Oryzias latipes: one gene and its partner. The protein of the gene in region 1 interacts with the protein of each later gene in a pairwise test. Links are inferred from orthologs where the notes say so. Each region holds a gene or a part of one and is shown on either strand. Other genes may lie near its edges.

Evidence for each region.
Region 2: the proteins of bccip (region 1) and rpl23 interact in binary tests that used the Homo sapiens proteins (3 or more experiments, as listed by UniProt). The link is inferred for Oryzias latipes from reciprocal best matches to the Homo sapiens genes BCCIP and RPL23.

What each region holds. Positions count from the first base shown.
Region 1 is NC_019877.2:11,824,445-11,828,364, reverse strand, and holds the start of bccip (BRCA2 and CDKN1A-interacting protein), read right to left. Parts: upstream 2,130-3,920; 5' UTR 2,019-2,129; coding exon 1,878-2,018; intron 1,722-1,877; coding exon 1,647-1,721; intron 1,562-1,646; coding exon 1,481-1,561; intron 1,339-1,480; coding exon 1,252-1,338; intron 1,040-1,251; coding exon 852-1,039; intron 759-851; coding exon 590-758; intron 1-589. Other genes in the region: uros (uroporphyrinogen-III synthase), read left to right, coding at 2,166-2,195, 2,820-2,894, 2,972-3,055, 3,137-3,233, 3,329-3,403. UniProt on the Homo sapiens protein: During interphase, required for microtubule organizing and anchoring activities. During mitosis, required for the organization and stabilization of the spindle pole.
Region 2 is NC_019866.2:25,931,569-25,935,488, reverse strand, and holds rpl23 (60S ribosomal protein L23), read right to left. Parts: upstream 2,818-3,920; 5' UTR 2,723-2,817; coding exon 2,710-2,722; intron 2,087-2,709; coding exon 2,003-2,086; intron 1,749-2,002; coding exon 1,620-1,748; intron 750-1,619; coding exon 636-749; intron 543-635; coding exon 460-542; 3' UTR 430-459; downstream 1-429.

The DNA of each region.
Region 1 (3,920 bases):
ACTGTTTTGAGGATAAAATTTTGTGCGGTCAAATAATCTTTTTGTACCTTAAGAGAGAAAAAATGCACTTGAAAGACAAAAATGTGTACAAACACAATTTTAGTCTTCAAACAGATAAATATGTACAAACAAAACAGTTTTCACTTGGGAGAATTTCTCTCTTCTGCGCTCGAAACAAAGTAGGGCACCGCGTTACAAATGTGCCCCGAAAGCCAGCCAATCACAGACATGGACATGATGGTTGACATTGAGTGGTCAGAAATTCCAATCGTGCCCAAACCTGATCCAGCCTGATCCAATTAGCTCGCAGATCCAGTCTCTGAGCTGATTGACTAGTTGACTTGTGATTTTCAGTTTCAAGATCAAACATTGTTTTGTTTCAGCATATTTTTGAGTTTCAAGTGCGTTTTTCTCAAAATGTGCTCAAAGTTTTTGAGCACACACAATTTGTAAAGCTTTACGATCAAACCAGTGAGTGTTGCGTGTGGAATAATGGTACAAAAATCCCTCCATAAGTGCGAAGGAATGTACAGTGACAGATGATTATGAGGAGGTTTGATTTGCTGTTCTGCATTTCTGCAACTTTTACCTCATAAAAAAATTCCTCCTCAGCATTGACAAACATGTAGTCCTCTTTAGGAACTCCTCCTCTGGACTGGATATTCTTAGATGCTTCTTTGCAGGTCTTGCTAATCATCACGCAGTAGTGGCACCTCCCACTGGGCTTATTAGTCCTCTGAGCGTCAGCTATCTCCTCCCTAAAATTGAATGAAATACATTTCAAAATTGCTCCTGAAAATATTTTCAATATACAAGATTTAGGTTGTCAAAAAAGTTAAAATTGAACTGACTGGAGTTGTTTATGCAGTGGGAGGGCGATCTGTGGGGGTACGTTGATAAAACGCTCACTCAGCAGAAGCCCAACGGGCTTATTGGTGTCATTGAAGATTTTCTCAAGCTGTTCTGTCAGAGCATGAGGAGCGTTCTTCTCACACTGCTCCAAAATCAGCTCCTTCACTTCCTCCACACATTGCACACCCTGAAAAGAATGATGGACGCCAGATTTTTAGTCAAAATTAAAAGAAAAAATAGTTTTTTAGAACATAGTTTTTGCAGAGCAGCAGTAGTTATTTAGAAATTCCCCTCTGAGTTGGTGTGGAGTAAGCCCATCCCCACTTCCCATCATCAGGATAATGTTAAAAACACACACAAAAAATCATATTTTCCCCCCATTGATAAATAAATTCTTACCTTTCTCTCTGTGAGGTTTAGCATAGAAATAAAACCGAACACTTCATCTGCATCTTCATCATCACTGTCTTCTGGAACCTCAGCTTGCTAAAGCAGTGGTGAACCAAGATATTGTCAATTAAAGCCACGAATGAATGAATGAATGAATGAATGAATGAATGAATGAATGAATGAATGAATGAATGAATGAATGAATGAATGAATGGGAGGGAGGGAGGGAGGAACATACCCTGATGACACTTCCAATGTGGTTCTGCTGGATGATCATGTCTGTCAGCTCTGATGTGTTTACATGAGCTTTCAGGAACAACTAGATCCAAACATAGACAGCAACATCAGTGAAAGCTTTATAACACCCCCTACAGCCTTAACCAATGATAAAGACTACACTAAACCTGCTGCAGCAGCTTTTTTATGCCATTGAAGTCGTTGTTTGACATGGTGTGAGCTTCAAAATCCACGGTGACTTCCTGAAAAGGTGTAAACAAAAAGGGAGAAAATAATTTATAAGATACTATGTAAAAACCAAAACATGATGTGAGCAGATTATCAACCATCTGTTGACATTGCTAGCGTCTAATGCTAACTGGCTTTGCTAACAAGTCTGGGTTGGTGCCATAACTCACCTCGTTAATTTCTTCTGATGCGTCGCTGTCCTCCTCTTCCTCCTCGGAATCCCCATCATCCTCGGGATTCTTATCAGAACTCTCGCTTTCCTCTGGGTTTTCACCCAAACCTACTGCTCTCTTTTTTGCCGAGGACGCCATGCTGCACCATGAAACACGCGTGTGTCATCTGAAGTAGGCGGAGCTAGTCGATGGAAACAGGAAAGAAACTAGTGTCGGGAAGCCGCCATTACGGCTCCTGACTCCGTTCATGTCAGCTGCCAGTGGATCCGGTTTGACACTAGCAAAATGGGAAAATACCACTGCAGTTTCTGGGGGGTGAATTTTTTAAAATGTAATTTAATTAAAACAGTTAACTTATCTAATACACTATGATGTTTAAAATATAATACATATCTAAAAAATATACATGTGTAAATAGAATACAATTTTTTTTAAGAACTTTGTTGAGTGAATGAAGAAGTTTGGTCTTTGTAGCTCCCCCCACCATACCCAATGATTGATAGGACCTCGTCGCTAAAAACAACTCTGACTGCGTTTATTATTTTTTATTTATTATTATTTATTTTTGCATTGTTTCTATTACTATTTTGAGGGTAAATTAATGGAGTAATTACCTAAATGTCACCCACATTTCACATAAACAGGAAGCTAACTGGAGCTGCCTACGTCATCTGCTGCTTCTTGCTAATGTAAACACTTCGACTCCGAGGATGAGTTACCCATCGGCACTAAACAAAGTATCTCAATAAATTGGTTTTGTGTTTATAATAATGAACAACCCTCTAACCGTGACTCAGCAGCTTCGTTATCAGGAGGCTGCATGTAACAGCTCAAGGGTGTAGCTTAGCTAAATCAGATCCTAAACCTTTCTGCAGTTCTGCGAGTCCCAACTGTCTTTCTAGCATTTTCCCTTGTTTATATTACCATTATTTTTGAAAGGACATCGCCAGAATGCACGTGTTGCTTCTGAAAGAGCCCAGAGAAGAAGCTTCTGGACCTGATCCATATCTTAAGGTAGATGCAGGTTTCAGTGTTCTGGTAAAGTTCTGCATTAATTATAGTGGCTATATTTCTTTGATTTTATTTTGAAGGAGCTGGCATCACATGGACACAAAGCTACACTAATTCCAGTGCTGTCATTTAAATTTGTCTCATTAAACACATTGGCTGATAAGGTAAAGCAATTATATTTACATATATATTTATACCTGAAGTTATTAGATATCGATTGTTTATGATTTTTGTTTCTTTTTCAGCTTTTTCAGCCAGAAAAACATGGAGGCCTTATATTTACTAGCCCCAGGGCAGTGGAGGCTGTGAAAATGTGCTTAGACGCAGAAAAAAGAAAAGAAGGTAGAATATCACAAATAGAATTAACATTTCTGTTCTTCTGCTAGGCTTACTACTTCAAATAAATTGATGTAACATGTAATCATCTCTTGTTATAGAGTGGAACAAGTCTCTGAGAGATCAGTGGAACACCAAACCCATCTATGTGGTTGGAAAGGCCACCGCTGCATTAGGTGAGTGATCAGGTTTTTTTCTTTTTAGGGTGTTTTGCGATCCATGAAAACCAAATATATGCCGAGTGTGCCAGGCACATGGAGCTCACACTCTTATGTTAAGTGATCTGAGGCTTTAGAGCCAATTGTGCACAAGTAATTGTTTGCTGCCACACACTTTGAAAAGAATAAGGTGAAAGGAAACCAGGTGCAAGATGTTCCTAATGTTTGCTCCACTTTTACCACCAGCTGACCTTTTTTTATTTCTTATTTAGTTGGTGTTTGTGTGTTTTAATGGGATACAGGAAGCAGGTAAAAAAAAATCCTTAAATTTGTCCTTCCTTTGACCCAAACCTAGAGATACAAAAAAAAAATGTACATAAAAAAATTATCTGTATTTCAAGGCGGGGCAGAACATGACTCAAGATCCCTTTAAAAGTTGGTAAAATCTCATTTAAAAAAATGATAGGAAGTCAGTAATGTCTTATCTTGAAGTGTTTCAGTGTTAAAAACTGAAACTAATCATTAGTGCATCAAA
Region 2 (3,920 bases), on another chromosome or scaffold:
GGATAATCAAGATGTTAAAGGTATCAGAACGGTTCTGACCAATAGAACTGAGGAACAGCAGTAAGTCTGGGATCTTGACTTCTTTGAGCCACTTCCTGTTGGTAACGTTTGGGTTCAGAGCGTTTATAGTGGACTGACTTGTTGGTTTGAAACTTCCCAGCAGCACTTCTGTTCCAGATTTACCAAGACACCCAACTTTGAAGGAACCAGAACTGTTCATGTTTGAGTCAACACCTTCCTGTACCTGAACAGGACCAGTTCTGGACTTTAAAGCCGGGTCAAAGACACCTGCAGTGTAGAAGCAGGCGGCACCGCAGGTCCGTCCTCCCCACCGCCATCAGACGGCACATCTGTGAGACCGGGTCGTCACACTGATGTGACTGAGACCAAGTTCAGTTCTGGTTCCACACAGTCAGACGGAGCCGGTCCTCTGGGTTTATTACTTTTATTGAAAACGATTCAGGCGATGCTGCCAGCATTGGAGGCGATTCTGGGCCACAGGTCTGCACACTCTTTAGCAACTGGACCTGTGATGGCAGAACCTGCAGACAGAACCAGAAAAGCTGCAGTTCAGCCAAAATCCAGACGGTGGAAGAGAATTCAGTGAAAACTAAGGAAACCTGGAACACAACCACCTTTCATTTCTCCTTTGTTGTTCACGATGACGCCGGCGTTGTCCTCAAAGTACAGGAACACGCCGTCTTTTCGCCGATACGACTTCCTTTGTCGTATGACCACCGCTGGATGCACTGCAACACAGCAGAGCTCCCGTCAGGGTACAACCAACCAAAACGGCCGTCCCTCCTGTATCGCAGGAGATCGGTTCTAAAGTAACCCAGATGAGAGAATTCCAGGTGTTTTAGGCTGTGGACGTCCTCCACACGCCTTCTGCATGTTTGGCAGAAACATCCAGACTTTTAAAGGTCTACCCTTCATAGAAACAGACGTCCAGAATAAAGACGGGATTTCTGTGACGTCTCCAAAAACCCAGACATTTGTCATCTGTTCCCCAAAATGCAACCAGAAATATTCCTCCAAGAATGAGATCCTCTACCCATCTAGAGAAACCATCTGAAGCTGCAGACGTGTTGCTCTAAAACACAGAATAATGTTGGATCTAAAGCAGAGTCTGGAGGAAGACGAGCTTCTCCCTTTCAAAGTAAAACTATTGACTTTACAAAAGACAGAAGATGCGTTTAGTGAAATAATTCTGACATATATACACCTACATTAAATAAAGGTATGAATTCAGGAACATCCTCTCTGAGTTCTCTATGCCGTCGTGTTGTTGAGGCGTCTTCCTTATTACTTTGAGGTTGGAAACCGGAGAAAATTTTCAGGATTTGAGAATCAAAGCATCAGCCGAGTTTAGGTTTTGTTTCCTGCTGGAGTTAACCAGGAAGTTGAGCCTGGCGTTGTTTGAAGTGATTCGGGTCTCCGCTTCTAAATGAAGTGATTACAGACTTTTATTTCATGCCTCAAACAATCGTTCAGACATTAGATCAAATAGGAACCGTGGTTCTGTGGATCGGGTGACGGCCCTACTAGAAAATCCTACAAACAGACCAAGACCGGTGAGCCGAAGGACCCACAGGGACCCTCCTGCTGCCCACACCCACCTTTTTTCCTGAGCTCTGGCTTGCCCTTCTTCACTGTGGCCATCACCATGTCCCCCACGCCTGCGGCGGGCAGGCGGTTCAGGCGGCCCTTGATGCCCTTCACAGAGATGATGTAGAGGTTCTTGGCCCCTGAGGAGCAGAAGCGTCAGTCTGAGCTGTGACCTACGTGGAGGGAGTGTCCCATCCCTGATTGAGAGCGGTCAGCCACAGGCGGACGCTGCCGTCTCACCCACAGTGATGACTTTCTCTGCCCTTCATCGACAACTCACTGAGCCACAGCAGACCCAGCGAGTGCTTTTGGAAGGACGGCGCTGCCAGCAAACGCAACGTTTGCACCGGTTCCCGCCAACTTACAGCCTCATGCACCTGCTGGGAAGGCGTACCTGTGTTGTCAGCACAGTTGATGACGGCTCCCACAGGGAGACCCAGGGAGATGCGGAACTTGGCCCCAGAAGACCCACCACGTCCTGGAAGGAGAAAGACCAGTTAGACCCTCGTAGATCACAGGTCCGTCCTGCTGCCGTGAAACCCGCAGGTCCGTGTCTGCCGGCAGCAAACATCCACAGAACCATCCACGGGGTCCTGCCCCCCCTCAGGAGGGCCCACCGGCTCCGGAGCCAACATTCAGGCCACGCCACGGGTTCGAGGCCGGTAAACCAGCGGACAGGAGGTCTTTTTTGGAGGATTACGCCGATGGGGACCGACTGTTCTGAACGACTGAGTCCCTCACGGCTAACGAACCGGAAGCTAACATGCTAACCTGCTGGATAAAAGGCCCTGGATCCGGTCTACGTGGACCAGGTCAGACCAGTTTCCATCTCACCGCCATCGTTGACTGTTCGCAGATTATTCTTCACCTACAGGTTTTAGAGCAGGACGTCTCGAACTGGACTGGAACACGCGGAACGTCCGCAGTGCTAGCAGGAATCCACGGGGGAATCCGCGCTAAGCGAGGAATAATCTGCGCTAAAACCTCCGAAATAAAGCTGTGGAATCATGTAACCGCTTCGTCTAGCGCTCAGGAGCCGAACCAGAACCCGATGGAGCGACACCAGCCTAGGATGGACCTGGATGGTCCAGCGGCTCTTACCTCTCTTAGACATGGCTGCGAGAGAAGAGACTGGTTCCGAAAGGAATTATGGGAAATCGCGCTGCACTCATATTTGCTTGGTCACGTGGTCAATGATGTTGCTTTTAGGGACTATTGGAAATATCTGTACCAGTGACCATCGGCGTCCTTCACAATCAAGTGTTTAACAAAAGCAGAAAGGCCACAGCGTCTTACATTTTAACATGAACGAAGTTAATTATCGGTTTACAGAACAGCCGACTTTTTTCCTGCCCGGAATAGAAGGAAAAAAACATCCAATGAATGGGCAGAGAAGGCAGCTGTGGGCGAAGGGTCTACATTTTCACTTGGTTTGGGTTTATTGGTTAGGAGCTCCTATTCGTACGTAAATTACCCAAAATAACGCTGAACTTTTCTCTTGGCCACTCTTATTTTGAAAGGCAAAAATAATATATAACATATTCATACATACACATAACATATTCGCTGTTCCACTGACTCTGGAACCCCAAATTGTTCTTTATAAAGAAATAAATCGGACCTTGTGCAATCACACAACCAACCAATAAATCTCTCATAAATATATAAAAAGATCATGAATTGTGAAAAAAAACTACACATAGATTTTAAATTAGCCTTTATTATTTATATTTCATGTTTTTATATACACTTTATTTAATTGTGCATGTATTTCAATTGTTGTTTTACCTGTTTATTGTTTTTCTTATACTGTATACATGTTGTGCAGCGACCTTGGGCCTGTTGCACAAAAGTACGATAAGGGATTAAGCCAGGATATCTTGGTGATCCTGGCTCAATTGATCCTCAATCCGGTTGCACTAAAGCTGGATAGGGGGCAGGAGGATATGTTATGGGATAAGTTACCATGGAGATTTATTCTGTGGAGTTAGCCTGCTCCAGACCAGGCTAAATTCCAGGATCTAGTTAATCTCATCCCTAATGTCAGTCAGCAGTCGCCACAAATGGAAACCAATAGTTATTTCATTGCTCACTATACATTGTTATCACATATAACTAGACCCGCTGTCATTATTTAAACGTTTGTGATCATTAATTTCAATCATTTTGGATAAATAATGAGTTTTAGATGATGTTGCTATCATTAGATAATTTACAGTTTCCCATAGACTATAAGGCTATATGTAACATGATAGAATATTAGGGCCACAGAGGGAAAAAAGACAAGTCATAATATTGTAACCAGTTGTTTT